2 linked regions of the Mytilus edulis genome follow. The protein of the gene in region 2 interacts with the protein of the main gene of each other region in a pairwise test. Links are inferred from orthologs where the notes say so. Each region holds a gene or a part of one and is shown on either strand. Other genes may lie near its edges.

The links. The genes of interacting proteins can lie anywhere in the genome.
Region 1: the proteins of DNA topoisomerase 3-beta-1-like (region 2) and sprouty-related, EVH1 domain-containing protein 2-like interact in binary tests that used the Homo sapiens proteins (3 or more experiments, as listed by UniProt). The link is inferred for Mytilus edulis from reciprocal best matches to the Homo sapiens genes TOP3B and SPRED2.

What each region holds. Positions count from the first base shown.
Region 1 is NC_092346.1:68,031,982-68,042,990, reverse strand, and holds the start of sprouty-related, EVH1 domain-containing protein 2-like, read left to right. Parts: upstream 1-5,771; 5' UTR 5,772-5,902; coding exon 5,903-5,925; intron 5,926-11,009. UniProt on the Homo sapiens protein: Negatively regulates Ras signaling pathways and downstream activation of MAP kinases. Recruits and translocates NF1 to the cell membrane, thereby enabling NF1-dependent hydrolysis of active GTP-bound Ras to inactive GDP-bound Ras.
Region 2 is NC_092350.1:350,410-361,937, forward strand, and holds the start of DNA topoisomerase 3-beta-1-like, read left to right. Parts: upstream 1-6,026; 5' UTR 6,027-6,145; coding exon 6,146-6,385; intron 6,386-10,600; coding exon 10,601-10,678; intron 10,679-10,947; coding exon 10,948-11,061; intron 11,062-11,084; coding exon of another isoform or gene 11,085-11,105; intron 11,106-11,528. UniProt on the Homo sapiens protein: Releases the supercoiling and torsional tension of DNA introduced during the DNA replication and transcription by transiently cleaving and rejoining one strand of the DNA duplex.

The DNA of each region.
Region 1 (11,009 bases), on a different chromosome or scaffold from region 2:
ACTGTTTTGAATTTCATTCTCTATATATATATATACGATCATATACCCATAGACGGCTTTACAGTGTCGTCATTATCTATAACATTATAGGCGGAAGATGCAAAAGGGATATTCAAACCGTCATAAGTCGATGAAAAACTGGAAAATCCATACCAAACACGTTAAACGACCAAAAGGTAAACAGCAGTGTACAGGAAACAACATAAATAACTAAAGCGGTCCGAGTAGCACGAACCCAGCAAAAGACCGGGTAAACTCATGTGCTTTGAAACGTTAAATAGATCCTGCCCATATTCTAGATCTGTCACAGGTTATGGACAAGAAATTTGTCAGACAGACTGCAATGCGTCATTACAATCGGGCTAGATTTAAATAAACAGTGGGGGTTTAGCATGTTTAATCCAATGGCTGATTTTGGTTATTTATAAAAAAAAAAAAGAAAAAAAAAAGGAGAAGATATGGGATAATTGCCAATGAGACAACTCTTCACAGACGACTAAATGACACAGAAATGTACAACTATCGGTGTGTATGTCATTCACTGGGGTAAAGCTGATGACCGTAACTGCATTCACGGTCATCCCAAGATGTCGGATGAAAAATTAGGTCAGTTTCTGTATTGTCTGTTAAAGTGTTTCAATATCATTTTCTTTACAAATCATACATTGAAACGATGTAAATTTATAAAAGAATCACTCGGAAATCACTAATTACTTCTGAGAAATGTGCATGAAACGGGAAATTCGATTTGAAAAAATCGCCAAGATGACCGTAAATCACAATCGAGATGACCGTAACAGAATCAGCGATTCATAACAAGGCTGACCGTAACTGCTATTAAGATGACCGTAATTTGTAAATGATGACCGTAACTTTTAAAGGATGACCCTCAATTCTAAGAAATATCCGTAATTATATAACTATCTTTTTGTATCAAATGATTGCCAAAAGACATGCAAATGAACAGGAAGAGAAAACATGCCACAAAAGCGCGAAAATGACACCTTACAAGCATAATAAAAAAAAATGGGGTGCACAGCTTCAACTGCTCGACAAAAGATTTTTGTTTGTTTCTGGGATTCCTTTTAATGACATATAATAAATACACATTTTTAAAAATGCCAAAAAATTGCATGTACACCCATTGATATTATATAGTCTTTCATTTTGTCGTGCAAATAAAATAACAGAAATATTTTGAAAATATCATTCGAATAAACTAGTGAAGGTGAGCTCCAGCAAAGTAGATCCTTAAAATAGTATTGTACGAAAAGCGTATCACAAGGCGGAACGTTGTCAATTTGTATATATACAGAAATGTTATTCATACAGTCAGGATTCTACTTCTTCAAAATTATCTCTCCATTGCGCCAGTTCATGCTCACAATCGTAGAAATGGAAGCCATTGTAGGGATGACGCTCTGCCAATTTTGCTCTTGAAAACTGATAAATTTATCCACATAGCACCATTATGTCAGTTATATTTTAAAAGACAAATGTATCTACTAGCTAATGAGCATTAGTTAATGATCTTGTCTGCATTGATTCAACTTAAAAATATTGTCTGTTCGGATGTCAGATGAAATTTTTGAAAATTCTTAAGCATTTAAAAAAATTCTAATTAAATATTTCGTGGAAGGGCAGACTAAACATTTTCAGTGGTTGAAGATTATAAACCCTAATTATCACACACAAGAAAATCAAATTTTTTCGAAGATATCCATTTTCATCATCCAAATTAAAAGACTGTCGTCAAGTACTTTTAGAAAAAATAGCTATTCGAACACACCTTCTCTGTTTTTGTGATTCATTAGATAGGTATCTCACTTGACCCATATATTTCATCTTTTCGTACTGTCATTTTTTTACGTTATAAAGTCAACCTGTAGCTTTGATATATAATAATGATAGAATCTGAAGCGAGATGCTATATAAAATACTCTTGCTTTGTACGTTTTAAAGACAAAATATACACCCCAAACATGCCTTAACATAAAAAAGGTGCACTCGATTTTTCTCTTTTCGATACAATCGTTACCTGTTTTGGGGAATTTTTTCTTGATTCACATAATGGAAGGGCAGACACGAAAATTTCTGAACTAAAAGATTGATATGTTCTCCGTCCGTGATAAAAAAAAATCGGAGGTTATTTTCTACATCCAACTTTAGATACTATATATAAAAAAAGAAGATGTGGTATTATTGCCAATGAGACAACTATCCAGAAAAGACCAAAATGACACAAACATTAACAACTATAGGTAACCGTAAGGCCTTCAACAATGAGCAAAGCCCATACCGCATAGTCAGCTATAAAAGGCCCCGATAAGAACCATGTCGTCGACTTGATATCTTATTGTTTTGCATTACTATGTAATAGATATATTGAAAACTTATGCAAATGGTGTTTTTAAGATAAGAAAATTGTCGTTTTATTTGTTTCTATTAACTTTTTAAAATTTTGTTACTATATCAAACATTACAGTTAACATTTATCGCTTTCTCGATAAACACAGAGCTTCGATTCTTTTGTTCTATTTCAAAAGTGTTTCCGCCTGCATATATCAAGTCAAATTAAGATTTTAATCTGCTTCCTCTGGAACCATACACATGGGCTCGATTACCAAATATTCGTATGTATTATTAATGTTTTTAATGCTCCATTTATTGGCATTATGTTTTTCTGGTCTGTGCGTACCTTCGTCCGTTCGTCTGTTTGTTTGTCCGTTTGTCCAGCTTCAAGTTAAAAATAATTAAAACTTAGTACACATTTTCCCCATGGTATGATCTTTTAAATTCTAAAGCCAAATTACAGTTTTATCCCATTTTCATAGTCCACTAAACATAGAAAATGATAGTGTAGATGAGGCATCCGTGTACTAGGGACACATTCATGTTTCTTCAAATTTTCGTCGTATCGCTGTCAATTTGTGTTAAAATCTTAACGTCGATATCAATAAATATTTCATTGTTTACGAGAAATATGCAATTTACTATCATTGTTATAAATCCTAAATATGGCTAATTATATTATAGTTCAAAACAAGAGGCTGTCACAACGACAGCAAACCGGATTTATTAATATTTATTTGTGTCCTGGCAATATCACAAGAACCATTACTGATGAATGGTGAAAGTGAAAATCGTCAATATCAAATTTGACATCAATTTTGTCATCAGTATCAACATCTTAAAATTTGAAAAGCTTAGATTGAATGGTTCATGAGTAAATGTAACAACGTGAATGGAAACGCCATTTCACAATCTTTCAAGAACCATAACTCCTGAACGGTAAAAGTCAAAATCGTCATTATTGAACTTGACCTCCATTTTGTCATCAGTAACAACATATTAAAATTTGGGAAGCTTAGGTAGAACATTTCATGCGTAAATACACGGACACGACTGGAAACTCCATTTTTCAATCTTTCAAGAACCATAACTCCTGAACGGTAAAAGTCAAAATCGCCATTATTGAACTTGGCCTTCATTTAGTTGTTAGTAACATTATATTAAAATTTTAAAAGCTTTGGTTGAACGGTTCATGAGTTAATGCACGGACAACATTTGATCGCCGCCCGCCCGCCCGCCGTACATCCCCAAATCAATAACCGACATTTTTGTCACAAAAATCCGGTTAAAAAGAAATTTATGAAACATATTTATATCCGCTAACCGAGCCCTTATTGAGATCGACAAACTCAACAAAAAAGCTTTGAATACAATACGGATATTTCTTAGAATTGATGGTCATCCTATAAAAGTTATGGTCGTCCTATATAAATTACAGTCAGTCTTTACAAATTACGATCATCCTTTACAAGTTACGGTCATCTTTTTACCAATTACGGTCATCCTTGTTTTATGTTACGGTCATCTTGAAAATATTTTGATTATGATTTACGGTCATCTTAACGATTTTTTCAAATCGAATTTCCCGTTTCATGCACATTTCTCGGAAGTAATTAGTGATTTTCGAGTGATTCTTTTATAAATTTACATCGTTTCAATGTATGATTTTTAAAGAAAATGATATAGAAACACTTTAACAGACAATACAGAAACTGACCTAATTTTTCATCCGACATCTTGGGATGACCGTGAATGCAGTTACGGTCATCAGCTTTACCCCAGTGTCATTAAAGGTATTGTATAAATTATGCCGCTGATTTTTCTCCTTGTATTTATCCCGGGACCTTTTAATGTATAATTACTACACGCTATGGGATTTTGTCTTATGTCCTTTGATTGGTTGATTATTTCTAGCTTTATGTCCAGTGGCAAATATCCCATGCATCTTTATGACGTTGTTGCTTTACTGTCTGCTATTAAAGATGTGGTATTTTTTTCTCTTTGTCATTAACCCGGAACATTTTTTGGTATAATTACTACACGGTATTAGATTTTGTTTACTGTCCTTTGATTGGCATGCAATATGGTTGACTATTTCTAGCTTTATGTCCAGTGGAAAATATCCCATGCCTCTTTCTTACGTCGTTGATTTACTTTATGCTATTAAAGATGTGGTATATTAGGCCGCTGGTTTCTCTCTTTGTCCGTATCCGGGTTTTTTTTTATGTATATATATCTAACTATACAGTATGGAGTTTTGATCACTGTTCTTTGATTAATTGGATTATTGTTCGCTGTATGTCAAGTGGCAAATATCCCATGCATATTCAGAATGAGAACAACTATAATACAATAGGTTTAAGTTTTGCAGGATTAATGATGCAGAATATTGACTGACCACTAGAAAATTGTCAGCTGTCTAATTTGCAATCATACCGCGGTCACATCGATATCATTATATTTCAAGTTTCATTTTTACATATATATTTGCCAACACTGTCATCATTTAATAGCCTTAGACAGTAATCACTGGTTGAAGTTTCAAAGGTTATTTCTGCATTCCGTCCATTTTTTATGATACGGGAAAATATAAGAAGATAACCTAACCAAATGTTGTATGGTAATCATTGTAATCATTGAGAAGCGGACATGACCCACTTTCAAGATTCAGAATTGGACACCTCCATCTCCCTCATTAAGTTATTTTCCTTTGAATAGTAACTTTCAAAAATCACATGTCCTAAAATATGACCTATAAAGGTAATATGTGTGCGTTTTGTAATTTATTCTAATTTTAACGAAACTAAGATCGTGTGTTGGTCATCAATCAATGTATGTGAATGAACGTTACACGCGATGTCGGCCAGATAAATTCATTCATAAATATTTGCAAAACAATAAACATTGTTTGATAGGCGTGTCCTAGTATCATTTACGTGACGTCACGTGTATGACAATAGTAATACACTTGACACTCGATGATTGACATTAATTTACATCTTAATTTTGATTGGTCAACATGGTCAGTAAATAATTTACATAAGAAATATCAATGTGGCAACTGAATAAACTTAAAAAATTATCTTGCACATTTCGCCATAAGAAAGATTTCAAGTTTCGATTAGGACACTTAGTTTTTAAGTTTTTACAATATAACAAAAAAATATAGTTGTCCGATATTAGGTTACAGGGTTTAAAAAAAGTTACAAATGAAATAGTCCCTTGCACTGTACTTGAACTATCGAGTAGCCATGTTGGCTTTTAAAATTATTCCGCTACTATTAATGCATATATTTTGAAAAAGAAAAGTTAACTGCATATAATTGCACATTTCATCCCACAGTTGGTATATGATATGAAAAATATGTAATATAATCATTGATTTTGATATGATTTGCCAATAATGGTATGTCTTGAAACTATTTTTAATGCGGATGTAGCGCACTTATAACATTGCTGTCCAAAGCATTTCCTGTCTAAATCTGAGACAATATCAGCCAGTGTTTTGTACAAAATGTACACACTGTAACTTCGAAATGGATCAAGGAAGATGACCGAAGATATTAAACAGAAGTAAGTTATTGTATGGATCTTTCAAATTTATGCCATTTTATTCGAAACGGTAAAATCATGTATGAATTCTTCGACCGTCTTCGCTCTTGCTGCACACATCATGATCATGGAGGCGGTTATGATTTCAACATGTATTTTTACATAGACAAAAGTTCCATCAGTTCGAATTTACCATTCTGTATTCCTTAAGATAAGAAATTAATGCACAGACATATAACTTTTCCATATACAACTGCCATTGAGAGAATTCTGATCAATGAAATTCTTCACTTGTTTCGGTTGACATGGATTCATTCATAAAATGTAATGAATGACATGGTCAGGATTTCCATTTTTTACCATAATTAATCTGAAGAACATTTCTTAGACAGTGTCAGAAGTAACTGCTTGCTTCCAAATTTACATTTCACCCATTTAAAGAAGAACAGTGTGTAAATACATATAGATAATATTTCAAAATAAAAGAAATACATAAATAGATTTTACAAGTTTTTTGTTGAGTATGTAAGTCTTTTATGTTTTTACTGTAAAATGATTATGTTTGAAGTATGCTACTTATTTAGTGCTAAAATTCATGAAATAACATTTTTAATTGAAAAAAAACTAAATATTCTCAGTAGGCACTTCAATTTTAGTAAAAATATATTGGAGTTCTGGACACTCGATGTAAATTAAAACCTCCTAACTAGTCCAAATAATTATGACGTCTTGAAAGGCTATTATAATTTTTTTCTTTGACGCCTTACTTCAACGTCAAAGAAAAAAATTATAATAGCCTTTCAAGACGTCATAATTATTTGGACTACCTCCTAACCAAACTGAAGTTCCTGGAAACTGATGTAAACAATTTTAACACATCAGCTCCTGTTTTAATAAATATTCTATAATCTTTATTCTGTCTGACAAGAACAAATTTATAGAATATTACTACTAAATGTATTTGACAATATTTGATAAAATAATAACATGATTAGGAAAAGTTATTTAAAGTCTGCATATTATATGATCATATTATTTAAACAATCACAACATGAGCTGGAATAACCAATGATCACATAAGATCATGGAGTTTCATGCAATAACAAAAATAAATAAAAGTGTATGTAATTATAAGAAAGAATCATACTTGATTTCTGAACCTGCGCCGTCAATATACTACCTCTGTGCACTAACTTAAGTGACCATCAATCACCAAAATAACATCTTAAAAATTCAAATTACATTTTTGCCCCTCCTCCCAAAACCACTTTAAATTCATTAATAAATTAAAAGAAGTCATTGTTCTGGTACACATTTAATACAGGGTTCTCACTGAGGCTAGACAATGCGTCCTTAAGTCATGAAAACCTCTGGTTGATACTTTTCAAAAGCTGACATGGCTTGTATGCTTAAAATTGTAAAACCTTGTATCAACTGAGCACATTTATCGTCCTATTACATTGTACATTACCAGGATTGACATAATTCTGTACAAAGCAAGAAAAAAAATTATTGACTCGACAAATTGTATTCTTTGCTCAATTTTAGTTTAACTTCATAGTTATACATTTGAACATACAAATGTAGATTCTGCCTAACTCAAAACATGAATTTAGCAAGTTACTTGCACCATTATTTTAGTTTTTGACCAAATTATTTAACAAATTTTCAATGTTAACAGTGTAAGATGGGGACAGGGACAAAGAAAAGTGACTTTCCTATCTTTTATTTTTCCTCTCATGATTAAACAAATATTTTTGATACAAGTATCATATGAAGATGAATTTAATATATTTTTTACCCTTAAAAGAAAATCATTACTACATGTACCACTGCATCTGCTTATCTGTTTTATGTTTTATATTTTATAATATGTTTATAATATGTTTATATCGGGATATTCAAAACAACAAAAAGTAGCACCATGGCCACTATACATTCTATTATAAAATCATCCAAGATAGCTCTAGGGTACCACAGTGCTTTAATGCCCTGGGAAGAACACGGACGTGTACATCATAAGTCACTGCTTCAACTTCCAACTTCAATAAGGTTACTATTGACATCCACAACTGTCTCCTGATTGAACCTTAATGTTTGTGACAGTCAATTGCAAACGTCTTGTCAAAAAATATTACATAAATAGCATTTGATATCATATAATTAGTCTACTTTATCTTTTTTGCTATCTTATTAAGTTTAAATAAGTGATAATATTAAACAAAATCAATTAAAAAAGTTATAACATTGGAAATTCATTGACTGCTGTACCCATATTTTGACTAGCTTACTTATTATGTCTGTTTTGTTCACGCATCACATCATTGTAAATATGATGGAATTTGATGTGACTGTCATACAAATGAGAGGCTTAGCGCTAAAAAACATTCAATCCACCATTTTCTACGTTTGAAAATGCCTATACCAAGTCAGGAATATGACAGTTGTTGTCCATTCGTTTGATGTGTTTTTTTCATTTGATTTTGCCATTTGTTTAAGGACTTTCGGTTTTGAATTTTCCTCAGAGTTTAGTATTTTTATGATTTTACTTTTCACATCATGCACATAAAACAACCAAACAAATATCAAATATAAGAGTTACTCTGAATCTGATCAGACATAGATAAAAATTATTTTTTCTTAGATATTGGCTAGAATGGAGAGAAAAATTTGTCCCTTAATGAAGATTTTGTTTGTCCGTCAAAGACTACACCTCCAAATAGATTCAGGGTAAAAGATGTGAAAAAAACAGTTCAAGTAAACTACATTGTAGGGTAGAATACTTGATACAGTCAAATAGACCACAAATCAAAAATAATTTACATGAAACATGATTCTGTATTTTTGAATTCATATACAATGTACATGAATATATATTTATCTCTTGATAAAATGAGCTTTGGTTCTGAAGAGACAATATTTATAAATCTTCCAACATTATTTAACATACAAATTTACAATGTATATATTATGGATAACTATTTAGGTACATGTATACTATTTCATTTACATGTATACTATTTCATATACATGTACTGTGGATTCATTATTTTCTGTTGGATACCAATTTTTGTGGGTACAGGTGATCACGAATATAAAAGTTCAAAGAACTGCAAATGTTCTATCCAGTTATAAGCAGACTTTTGCGAAAACTGCAAAAAAGTAAGTTTTCTACAATCCACAACCAGGTGCTCCGCAGGGTGCAGCTTTATACGACCCCAGTGGTCAAACCCTGAACAGTTGGGGCAAATTTGTACACAATATTTAAGCTTGATACTGTCTGAATTTGGATTGTGATAAAAATTTTGACATAATAAAGGTTTTTTGTCACAAAATAAATGTGGGCAAAGATCTAACAAGATCTGTGCAGTTAAAGATTTCCTCTTGAAACTTTTCAAAATTCGAAATTTGAAAAATTTTGAAAATAAAAGGAATCCCTTAAAAAATGGTAAACAAACCCCCCCCCCAAAACTTATTGAAACCCCCCTTAGAGCAATAACCCTTAAACTCAATCCCATGCTTTCTTTTGTAGTATTGAACCTTGTACAATTTCAGAGAGATCCATACACTTAAAATACAAGTTATTGTTATGATTGTTTCGAAACGAGAAACATGCTTCTTTGGCCAGTTTTTTGGCCCCCAATTCCTACATGTTTTGGGCAATTAACCCAAAACTTAATCCCAGCCTCCCCTTTGTTATATGGTACATTGTGGTACAATTTCAGAGAGATCCATACAAATACACACAAGTTATTGTCTGGAAACTAGAAAAATGCTTGTTTTGGCCCCTTTTTGGCCCTTAATTCCTAAACTTTGGCCCCATAACCCCTTAAATGAATTCAAACCTTCTACTTGTGGTTTTAAACATTGTGGTATAGTTTCAGAGCAATTGAAATACTTGTACACAAGTTATTATCCTGAAACTAGAAAAATGTTTGTTTTGGGCCCCTAATTCCTAAAGGGTTGGGACCATCATCCCCAAAATCGATCTCAACCTTCCTTTTGTGGTATTGAACCTTCTGAAAATTTTCATAAAGATCTATTTACTTAAACTAAAGTTATTATCCGTAAACCAATGTGTCTTCGGACAACGCAGACGACTACATCATACCTTTATACAATCCCAAAATTTTTTTTGGGTCATATAAAAATTGGTATCCATGAAAACAGATATATCTACAACAAGTTTCATCAGTGGACTAATATCAAAGTTTCCATCAAAATCAAAAGCTTTTGACAATTAAACTAAGTAAAACAGGCCTGGGGTTCTTGGTAAAGCACTTAGATGAGTCCTGGACTCATAATTTAGACAATACTCTAAAATGTCTACATATAACATATATTATAAATTCATTGGTGGCACTCCCAACTTCAAGAATGACCTGGGATAACCCAAGTAATTTCCTACCTACATTGTAGAACCCTGTAAAAATGCCTTGACAAGAACACTCAAAGTACACAAAATATGTTGACACTCTCAAAGATCTTCATAAAAGAAAAGGCTGAAGTTTAGTGTTTTAAAAGAGAAAATGGCTTGAATCTTCACTGTATATTCCCATTTTGAGAGAGCCAATCAGAAATCACACCAGAGCAAGGAGAATTGGGATAAAAGGATTTCTAGTACAAAGAAGGTGTTTATTGGTCAATATAATATACACTATCTCACTTTTCTATGTGGATCTGAAATAGTTGTGATTATTGAAAGTAAATATATGAAGAAATATCATTTGGATATTTTAAAAGTTGTTTTAATGGTGATCAGTTACAGTAAGTCATAACCCCTGCCACCATTATACTAGTACCAGTAACTGAAATTTATTATGTTTTAATATTTTTTTCGTAGTTTTGTAAGACTGATTTTAAACTGTACAAGGGCCATCCTTAAACATTCTTTGTTGATATTGCCACCTGTGCCTATAGGGTTGGGTTGGTAATGGTAAGTAGGGATTTTATTTTTTGGGGGACCAACTACATAAGTAACTTGTTTTAGACAAGAATACAATGTAAGTGGGTGAGGGGAGAGTGGAGTTAAAATGATTTATGTCATACTTTTTTTTGGAGTATGCTGCTTTTTAGGTAAGTAGGAAGGCAACATCAAACAATTG
Region 2 (11,528 bases):
GCAATCACGTTCTTGTCCGCGCCAGCAAGTAACCTGTTATCTAGTAGCTGTTGTTGGTTAGTATCTTCAATTATTTTACAAGAAATCAATCCGTTGGTTTTTTTTTTGTTTTTTTTTTCTTCTTGGACTCATTTTGCCTTACGGAATTAGATTGTTCAATGCTAATGGCCCAACTGTGACCTATATATAATTGTGTAAATCTTCGTCATGTTGTATTAATGAAAAGATGTGTGTACGGGCAGTCATGCTACATCTCCTTAGTTTTATAAAAAAAAATGGTATATGGCTAAATGCCAACAGAAGACTAATGCGTTGGATTTTTTCTTTTTTTCATTTTTAAGAAGGACATCCGACATTAAGTTATTTGACTTTTACTGGAAAAACTATACATGGATACACAATTCATAAACAGTGTTGCTCGCCAGCTCATCAATAGATTATTAAACGCAGGACGTTGGGAAAGTTAGGAGAGCCGACGATCTTGCTTTGGAACTTGCAAAATCTATTTAAACTTATTATGGTGGAAATTTCCGTTAAATTATTAATTATCATTTTATAAATCTTCCAACGAGGGAATATCTGCCATCATAACATTTGTATCATTTCAAAATGGCGTTTTTCAAATATTTGGGGAAACTTAGGGATAAATAGATATAGGAAGATGTGGTATGAGTGCCAATGAGACAACTCTCCATCCAAATAACAATTTATAAAACATTATATGTCAAGGTACGGCCTTCGATGCATCATTTATGGGATATTAAACAGAATATTAGAATATAACTCCTCTAGAAAAATGTGCATAGAATGTAATCGTATATGTTCAACTAGGTTTTATCGTCCATATTCGGCTTGTCATCCTTCTTCTGTGATCATCATTATGTTGTGTCATGTGTACTATTGTTTGTCTGTTTGTCTTTTTCATTTTTAACCATGGCGTTTTCAGTTTATTTTCGATTTATGAGTTTGACTGTCCCTTTGGTATCTTTCGTCCCTCTTTTTAAATCCACACTTCCAATGTGAAGTTGTAATACATTTTAATAATGCTTCCAGTTAACTTGAAAGCTATGTTTTCATGTATAAATTATATTTACTTTAGTTAAAATCATTTAAGATATGAAAGCTGTTGATAATATCTTTCTTCATACCTCATTGACATTGCTTACCAGCTAATTCTGATACTCAAAAAGGCATCTCAGGAACATAAAACATTACGTTTCTGGAACTTAATTGAATAACCAATACATATATTAGGAGCAAATTCAATTTCTGTCCTGTTGCATGACTTTTTGATACTAAGAAAATAAAGATACAAACAGAAAAAGTCCAAAAAATGTACCAAGGTGTGAGTATGAAGATAATTAAAGCTCATATCAACAGTTCAATGACTTGAAGAAGCAAATATGCCTTTACTGCAGTTTTAAATTAAAAGACAATAATCAAAGGCAATTGAAACTTTTAACGTAGTTATTAAATGTAAAAGATTGTAAATATTCTTTCAGTTATAGTAATATACTGGATATTCCACATGAACTCAAAGAGACAACAACCCGACCAAAGAGCAGAAAAGGGGAGACAATTTCAGGGACTTAATTTTCGACTCTGCTTTGACACCATTTGCGAGTATGGTCTTGAGAAACGATGATAGCCCGTCTGAAGGGGACGATAAATATGTTTAAACTAAAGCGCAGACAACAGTTTGATTTAACATTTCGATTTTTGAAGCTTATACTATGTGATTAACTTTGTTATACTGTATAATGTTTTATCAGATTAATGAGATTTTTTTTTAATAACACGTACAGTTAAAAAATCTTATATTTTATTCTTATGCATACATGTAGCATTAGACTGTCACTGTCAGACTGAATTAGAAATAATATCAACTACATGTATAGATATGATTTCATTGCAACAAATGGATGCTCAATAAAATGCACAAGTAAAATAATACAAATAAACCAAATAAAATGATAAATCAAATTATTCAATTAAGACCAGCAATAAAATCCAGCTGGTATATTTTATAATATATTAGGTACAGTGACCCAGTTCTATAATACTGACAATCTTGCCGTTTCTAACTATATATTTTTCGTTTGGGCATGTATTATATTTTCCTTCGGATTTATATGATTCGTTCATCCTATTTCAAAACTTTAAAATTCAAAGAGTCTACACTAAATTGAGGTAAATTATATGGCCTTCCAAATACCGTTTCGATCCCTAACATCACTGAAAAGTACTGCAAGTACCAAGGAAAGTATATATTTACAAAAAGGGCGACATGAATAAATAAACAGCTAGATAAAGAGCTGAATAATTTTATACAAAAAGCAAATACAAGTACCATACAAGAATGCTGGAATGGTTTTAAAGATATATTGTCACACACAGGCTATAATATTAAATATCCCAACTAAAATACTGTCAACCAGAATGTACCTTGGATCAATCGAGAGATCAAACAATGATCAGGAAAAGAACAAAGGGTTTACAACAAGGCAAAACGTACCAATAAAGAAAACACTGGGAAGAATTTAATCCTGAGAAAAACAGTAAAAACTAAATTAGAAGAAGCACATCAAAACTACATATCACAACTATTTGAAGTAGACGAAGAGGGTGAGAGAAAAACACCTGTTGTTGGAAAAAAGTTTTGGCAATATGTTAAATCAAATAAAAGAGACTCCAGTGGAGTAGCACCACTTATTTCAAATGGAAAACTAATGGAAGACAGCAAAGGGAAAGCAGAAGCACTTAACCATTAATTTGTATCTGTTTATACTGATGAAAATACATCAAGTCAACCAAAATTAAATGGCAGCCCATCGCCTGATATAGACCCATCTAGAGATAACAGTAGAAGGAGTAAGAAAGCTACTTAGTAATGTCAATCAGAAAAAAGTCCCAAAGGAATGTGCTACAAGTATCTCGCCATATACATAACAACATTATTCAAGAAAACATATGATGAAGGGGCTGTCCCAAACGATTGGCCGTGGATTACAGCTATCATCACAACACTTTTTGAAAAGGGAGACAAAAGCTTGCGAGTGGATATGCTTATATTAGATTTCAATTTAGCATTTGATGTAGTGCCTCACATACGGCTTCTACGGAAACTAGAGCACTAAGGAATAAATGGCAAAATAATAGATTGGATAAAGGCCTGGCTCACACAACGACATCAGTGTGTATCAGTTGAAGGCGAAACATCTACAAATGCCTTTGTAAAATCGGGAGTACCCCAAGATACAGTTTTAGGTCTATTTATGTTTCTTTTGTACATCAATGATATTGGGGATGACATCAAGTGAAAGTTGCGTCTCTTTGCAGAAAATAGCCTAGTATACCTAGCAATAGACTGCAAAGATGACTGTAACCAACTAAAAAAAGATCTGGATAAATTGATTGACTTTGGTATCTAAATGGCAGATGAAATTTAATGCCTCAAAATGTTATGTTCTAAGAATAACCAACAGGAAAAAACCTACTATATTACATAACTATCACATGCATGGCCAAGTTTTAGAAAATGTAAGTCAAAACCCATATTTAGGAGTTCAGTTTACCAACAACCTGAAATGGGATATATACACATCAACAACATCACGGTAAAAGAAAATAAATCATGAGGCTTTCTGAGGAGAAACATCGGCAAATTCTCAGAAGAAATTAAGAAAAGAGCATATCAAGCCATTGTCAGACCAAACGTCGAATATGCAAGCAGTGCATGGGATCCATATCAAGAAAACCACATCAAACAGATAGAAATGGTGCAAAGAAGATCAGCACGTTTCATCAAACATCAATACAGCAAAGAACCTGGTCAGTTACTAGTCTACTGAAGGAGCTAAAACTACCATCATTAGAAACTAGACGGAAAATATATAAAAGGCTTTGCTTGTTTCACAAAGCTTTACATAAAAAGATAGCCATAAATATTCCAGATTATGTAGAACAACAAGACAGAACAACACGGCAATACCACCAAAGTAAATTTAGAAACCTTCAAACTTCAACAAACACCTTAAAATACAGCATCTTTTCACGTACCATCAAAGACTGGAATACCCTACCAATAAGACCGTTAAATATAGAAGATGCAGAGGCATTCAAGAACAGCCTCACATCTTATTTAACAGAGTAGTCACGCAACAAACATTTGATTTTAATTTCACATGTAAATATGTTTTCAATGAGCACCATATTGAATGACCTAATTGATACTTGCGTGATGGGTCTTAGACACTTTGCATTTCAACGATGTAGATGTAGACACTGAGGAGACATTAATTGTCGAAATCATGCCGAATATGGTGTACAAATTTTTGCACCTCATGTTTGCGGTATACCATCTTCTCCGCAAGTTTACGGACGCCATCACGAGTTTGTTGACCGTTATGGAATAACCGTTTCACAAATGATATCGGATATGTTCCTTACGTCGTAACTACAATCCCCTTCCCTTTCATAAATGTGACCTACCGAATTAGACTATTTACCGGATTTGTTATCTCATAGTGCCACATGTGGAGCAGGATCTGCTTACCCTTCCGGAGCACCTGAGATCACCCCTAAATTTTGGTGGGATTCGTGTAGTTTATTCTTTAGTGTTCTATGTTGTGTCATGTTTACTATTGTTTGTCTGTTTGTCCTTTTCAGTTTTAAGGGAGCTACCATTTGATTTTTATGGGGGGGGCTCGGATGAAATTTGAAAAAAATAGGCAGGACAGGAGTTGTGAGTAAAAAAAAAAGGCAGGATGAGACACTTTGCAAAAAAAAAATGCAGGATGACAATTCTGGGAAAAAAAGTCAGGATAAACTAATAAAAAAAAAAGGCAGGACCGAATAGAGTGAAAAATAAAAAGGCAGGACAGAGATTACAACTAAAAAAAAATGCAGGACAAAATTTTTCATCCTAGCCCCCCCATAAAAATCCAATGGTAGCTCCCTTAGCCACGGCGTTGTCAGTTTATTTCGATTTATGAGTTTGACTGTCCCTCTGGTATCTTTCGTCCCTCTTTTATTATGTTTTGTTTGGTATCAAATTAATAATTAAGATCCATGTTACATCTCGTGATCAATTTATTTAGCAATCGTCAATGGCAGCCAGCAGGGTTTAAGAACATCAGTTGTTCGACCTGTTAGTCGAATGCGTTTTGTTGAAATATACTTTTCACTTTTTTGATTTTTTCGGAATCTGATTATTTTTACAAATTCTACATATTATTCTATAATTTACATCTGATATTTTTGTATCTTCCTGCTTCTATTGCTAATGTGTGTGTTAGTCGAAATTTAGTAATCATATGTCTTTCATCCCTATTTAAATCTAAATATGGTTCAAATTGAAATTGAGATTTGTTAAACAGTTTATATAAACGCAATTTATTTTTCTTACTACCGTTTCTAAAAACAGAAAAAAAATCGTTTTACAAATTTGGATATATTTTAATCTCGATTGTGAAAAAAACAGTTTCCTTAGATTTAAATTCTAATAGTTTGTAAATATCTTTATCAAGATGGCATGAAAAAATTCAAAATTGAGTGGATGTTTCAAGCCATGATAATTTGTCCTCAGTGCTCATGTAACTTGTGTAACTCCGAGCCCCATATCTCACTACCATATAATAAAATGGGCTTTACTCTATGTTCAAAAATATGAAAAACATGTTTTTATCTTTGGTTTTTGATTACCAAATACTTTACAAAGTTCAAAATATGCTTTTAAGCCTTTTTATAGAATGTCTAGCATGAATTTCTAGCTTTCTAGCAAGAAGAAGTTCGTTCAATCATCTGTTTATCTTATCTTCACGCACAGGGGCTTGTTTAGTGGGTCAGACGAGGTTTTACTGTCAATGGCGTTCGCTATCCTATATAAAATACCAAGTATTTTTATATAGGATAGCGATCGCCATTGACAGTTAAACCTCGTCTGACCCACTAAACAATCCCCTGTGCTTCACGGAGCGAATAATCCTTGCACGGATAAGTCAGTTTTATTTTAGGTCTGTCGTCCTAGACGAGATTCGCCACGTTATTTTGTAATTCAATATGTCAGCGCCCATCAGTTTGACACTTGACAATTGAAAAATATTTGGTTTTTCTAGTGCCAGTGCAGTATATTTAAAACGTCAACATGAAGACCGTTCTGATGGTTGCAGAGAAACCGTCTTTAGCCCAGTCGATTGCTAAGCTTTTATCCAATGGTCAGATGAACAGTAGAAAAGGGTCAAATGGAGCTTGTTCTGTCCACGAATACAGAGGTGTTTTTCCTCCAACGGGAGAAAATGTGTTCTTCAAAATGACGTCTGTTTGTGGTCATGTTTATGGTCTTGATTTTGTTGGAAAGTACAATAGCTGGGATAAGGTTGACCCGGTAAATTATTCAGGTTTCAGATGCATTATAAATAAGCTTTATTAAGAGTCGGCAAGGTATACAAACATAGAAACTCTAATGAGCTTTTTTAAAACCGACATTCATGATTTAAGCCTTAGGCTTAGCTAACAGGGTTGTAAACCTCGCGAGATCTCTTTGGGTAATAGAGTCTTTATCAAAGTATTAAAAGTACTCGAAGTAAGGGTGAATGTTTAAGCATAAATTAACTGTTTCAGTGTTAAATTTAACATAATTAATTAAATAATTTGAGTTCATGCATAAATATTTATTTCAATGTCATTTTAATTTTGATTTGTATTATTTGTATAATGAAAAAGAGACATAATTTGATATTGAATTTAAAAAAAACAACATATTAAATAGTTGACACTTAATTAATTGTATCAGATCTAGAGTTCATTTTATTTGATAGTTTCATAATGGGTTTCTATTTAATATACACCTGTGTCAGAGACATAATTTCACAGTGTGACATGTATATTAGGTAAACGGACAGAAAGTCACAGGACAAAAAGTCACAGGACATAAAGTCACAAATTTGATAGGACAAAAAGTCACAGGACAAAAAGTCACAAATAATTTTTAGACAATTGTTTGAATATATAAGAAAAATATCTTAAAATATTTACTTTGTAATACATATATTCATATTAAAGTAAATGATATTTATCATTTTACTTTAAAAATGAAGATTTATTTAATTTTAATCCTGCAAAGGACATATTTCTTGGCACCATGAAGCCATTTAAGTGCCAATCTACTTTGACATTTTGTTTTCTTAGCAATTATTTGATCATCTTTGATATTTTTTTGATAAATTTTGCTTACAAAGTTGGTTAGTATACAATACTTCAAGAAAAATACAAAAATGTTTTTGTAAAAATAAGCTTTTTTTTTTGAAAGAAAATAATCAGAAAAAATGAGTTGTGACTTTTTGTCCTGTGACTTTTTGTCCGTGACTTTTTGTCTGTGACTTTTTGTCCTGTGACTTTCTGTCCTACATTCGTATATTAGGCTTGAATTATTCGATGATCAGGTAAATCACAACCTGTTTAAAAGAGTTTTAATTGACACCTGGTACACAAGAAGTTGTTACACCACAGTGTCCACAATCTTTCCAAAAATACAAAATATAAAATTAATTAATGAGTAGAAAAAAAACTTAATTTGTTTGTTTATTTACCGTTAATCATGATCAACTTTGTCTTATATTCATAATTTTTATAGATCATTAAAAAATTATTACTTTTTGTGTTCATTATTAATTGGGTATGTATTGAGTTGGTTTTTTTTGGGGTTGTCGGTAAATTGTTTTCTAAGTGTGTTTTTCGAAATTTACATTATGAGCTTGCATTGATTTTTTTTTGATTTTTTTATGATTGTCGGTTAATTTATGGTTTCTCCTTTTCACGGATTGTGTATTAAGGACTTACATTTAATCATTTTTGTTAATGATCATTTAATAGAAAATGGCAATATAAGTCTCACTTTTCACCTCGAATGTAAAGAGATTAAACCATAGTTTAAGTGTAAGGAACTGCTAAATATACGATAAAAACTCACAGCAGCAAGTATTGCTGCCTTTTCATGTAACAATTTTTGTAAGAATAAACATTCTACTATTCTATACTTCTGTTAACTTGGCAAGTTGACTTCAAAGCATACATTGTACACCAGTTTAAATGCCATATTGATATCTAAATGTTTTGAAATGTACATGTCTCCCTTCTTTTTAATATACTTTTTGACTAGTTAAAATCTCCTTTTAGTTTTGAAACAGACATGCACATGTGTAAATAGTTTAATAACTACTTGACTTGATTTGTTAGTTAATACCTTTTTCTTTTACTTTATACAAACTGCACGAAAATGTGTCTACCTTTATTGTTGATCAGGCTGATTTAATTGGTGGTTGCCTAACGTCCAGTGGCAAATATTTCACATTTTTTTACATATTGATGTGCGAGTGTATGACATTTCTTTTCTGTACAGTATATGCAATATAATATTTAACTCTCCACAAGAAACCAAATTACACAGACATTAACAACTTTAGGTAACCATAAGGCTCTTAGCAATGAGAAAAATTCATCCCTTGAATATTTTTCGTCACATTTTTCTCAGGAACTACACTACAAGGATTCTGAAATTTGGTTTCAGGCTTGATATAAGTCAACTATACCGTGTGATGCGTTTTCAGATTCATCACTCAACAACTTCCTGTTTACCGAACACTTGTTTGATTTTACACATGATAGCCAAGTTGAAAATTTTTCGTCACATTTTTCTCAGGAACTACAATACAAGGATTTCTGAAATTTGGTTTAAGGGTTAATATAAGTCAGCTATACTGTGTGATGCGTTTTCAGATTCATCACTCGACAACTTCCTGTTTACCGAACACTTGCATATTTTTACACAATTAATATTATCCACTTGCGGCGGGGGTATCATCAGTGAGCAGTAGCTCGCAGTTTCACTTGTACATGTTGTGACATTATTTAAGTTTGTCGTCCTATTCAATGTAAACAAAGAAATGCTGAGTGTCATCAGGTAATGTTTTTTTTTTACAACAAACAATTTTTAAAAATGAATTAGTATTAAGTTCCTTTCTTAGACTGATAAATATACAATTTATTCAAAGTCTCATGCAAACAAGACCAGAAACAGAAGTAGATTTCTGCACAGATCCCGAAATTCAAAAATGCGACAAAAAAATTTTTGAACGATTTTGAGTACAATGAAAAATTCGGGAAATTTTGTTGATTTTTTTTTTATATTATTGAATTTTCTACTGTAATAGGGGACTTCGTCCCTATAATATATAGAAAGAAAAACATCTACTGATTCTGTTCACATGCGTGATCACATGAGTTTGAAATCAATAACAGGGTTAAAATATACCAAACTGGACTATCACAGTAGAGCTTCTCTCAAACTTATTGAAAAGTCCAGAGAACTCCGAAAATAATGTTAACCTATAAAAAAATTCATAGATGAATGATAGGTCCACCACCGAAATGGAGAAACTTGAATTTAGTGCTCCTTTAAAGGAGGAACTTGAATAAAAACAAAACAATTCCAAAATCTTTCCTTTACACATGACAGACATTTCGTCTGCAATCATTGCTGAAGTAATTGAAGTAAAATCTAAAATTGTGCATCATATTATCCTCTGGAAATGTGTTTGAGATTAAGATAAATGTATGTTTTATCAATCTAAAAAAGAAGATGTGGTATGATTGCCAATGAGACAACTATCCACAAAAGACCAAAATGACACAGACATTAACAACTATAGGTCACCGTACGGCCTTCAACAATGAGCAAAGCCCATACCGCATAGTCAGCTATAATAGGCCCCGATAAGACAATGTAAAACAATTCAGACTGTTGTCATTGATTTCTTCTGCAAGATAAAGTAATAAAGTGTTGTTCGGAATTGCGTCCATATATATGGCTCACTTGACCCGTAAAACAAGGTCACACAATCTTAGTAAAGTTATCCTAAAGTGAATAAAAAATTATATGGGATATGATGCAAAATGGAAAGCCTTCATATGTCTTAAATTCTATGATATAAACAATTCAAAAAAAGTAGTTTACATAAATAAAATATTAATCACAGTTTAAAGATCGTTTGTAATTGTGTCCAGTGAGGCTATACTTAAGTCAAAACATAAATGTTGATGACGATGAATGATTGAATTCTAAATAGATAAATCATGTTAATGGGGATGTTCTTTTGGTCATGTTGGGTAAATTTCCATAGAAATTTTAAATAACAGGCATGACAGGTGTTTGATTTGAATATTAATAGAAGAATTTCTAAGTTGGACTAACTTATGTCTAAGTAATTCCTTATTTTACAATTTTTGCAAATAATATGTTTAAACTTTACTACAGTCATGGAATTCCTTTGTTGACAATACTTGTGCAACACATTAAAGATCTTAAATCATATTATCATATTGTGATGGTTGTTTCTAGTTAACTTAATGACTTACTGTAAACATGAATATGAATAAGGCAAATGTAAGGAGAGATCCAAGTTTAACTTATCCACAAAGATTTATATTCGCATAATTTTTCGACGGGAAATTCAGCAAAATAAATCATTCGCAAACATTAGATGGTTTTACATTATCAGTAAATGAACTTTTAGATATGTTAAATGTTTAATGTAAATTTCAGAGTGAGCTGTTTACTGGACCAACACACAAAAAAGAAGCAACAGAAAAGTTAAGAATGCCGACTTTTCTATCAAAAGAGGTAAGGCAATCAGTGTAGAAATGTAACTTACAGGCACGGATCCAGCAATTTTAAAAAGGGGGGTTCCAACTATATGCTCCCATTCAAATGCATTGATCGGCCAAAAAAAATGAGGGGGTTCCAACCCCCCAGAACCCCCACCCCCAGGATCTGCCACTGACTTGTAACCAGTAAGGCAATCAAATTGAATGTAGAAATAAATTACATTGTATCATTTCATCTAAAAATGTAGGTAAAGATGACATCATAAGGATTTAATTTCTTTACAGGGCAGAGGTGTAGATTTCCTAGTGTTATGGTTAGATTGTGACAAGGAAGGAGAAAACATTTGTTTTGAAGTTATGGAATGTGTAGAGCAAAGTATGAACCGGGGAATTGGACAGGTCAGTATCTAATTCTACAAAATATGAACAGGGGAATTGGACAGGTCAGTATCTAATTCTACAAAATATGAACTGGGGAATTGGACTGGTCAGTATCTAATTCTACAATGTATGAACCAGGGAATGGGACAGGTCAGTATCTAATTCTACAAAGTATGAACCGGGGAATGGGACAGGTCAGTATCTAATTCTACAAAATATGAACTGGGGAATTGGACTGGTCAGTATCTAATTCTACAAAGTATGAACCGGGGAATTGGACTGGTCAGTATCTAATTCTACAAAGTATGAACCGGGGAATTGGACTGGTCAGTATCTAATTCTACAAAATATGAACCGGGGAATTGGACTGGTCAGTATCTAATTTTACAAAGTATGAACTGGGGAATTGGACTGGTCAGTATCTAATTCTACAAAGTACGAACTGGGGAATGGGACAGGTCAGTATCTAATTCTACAAAGTATGA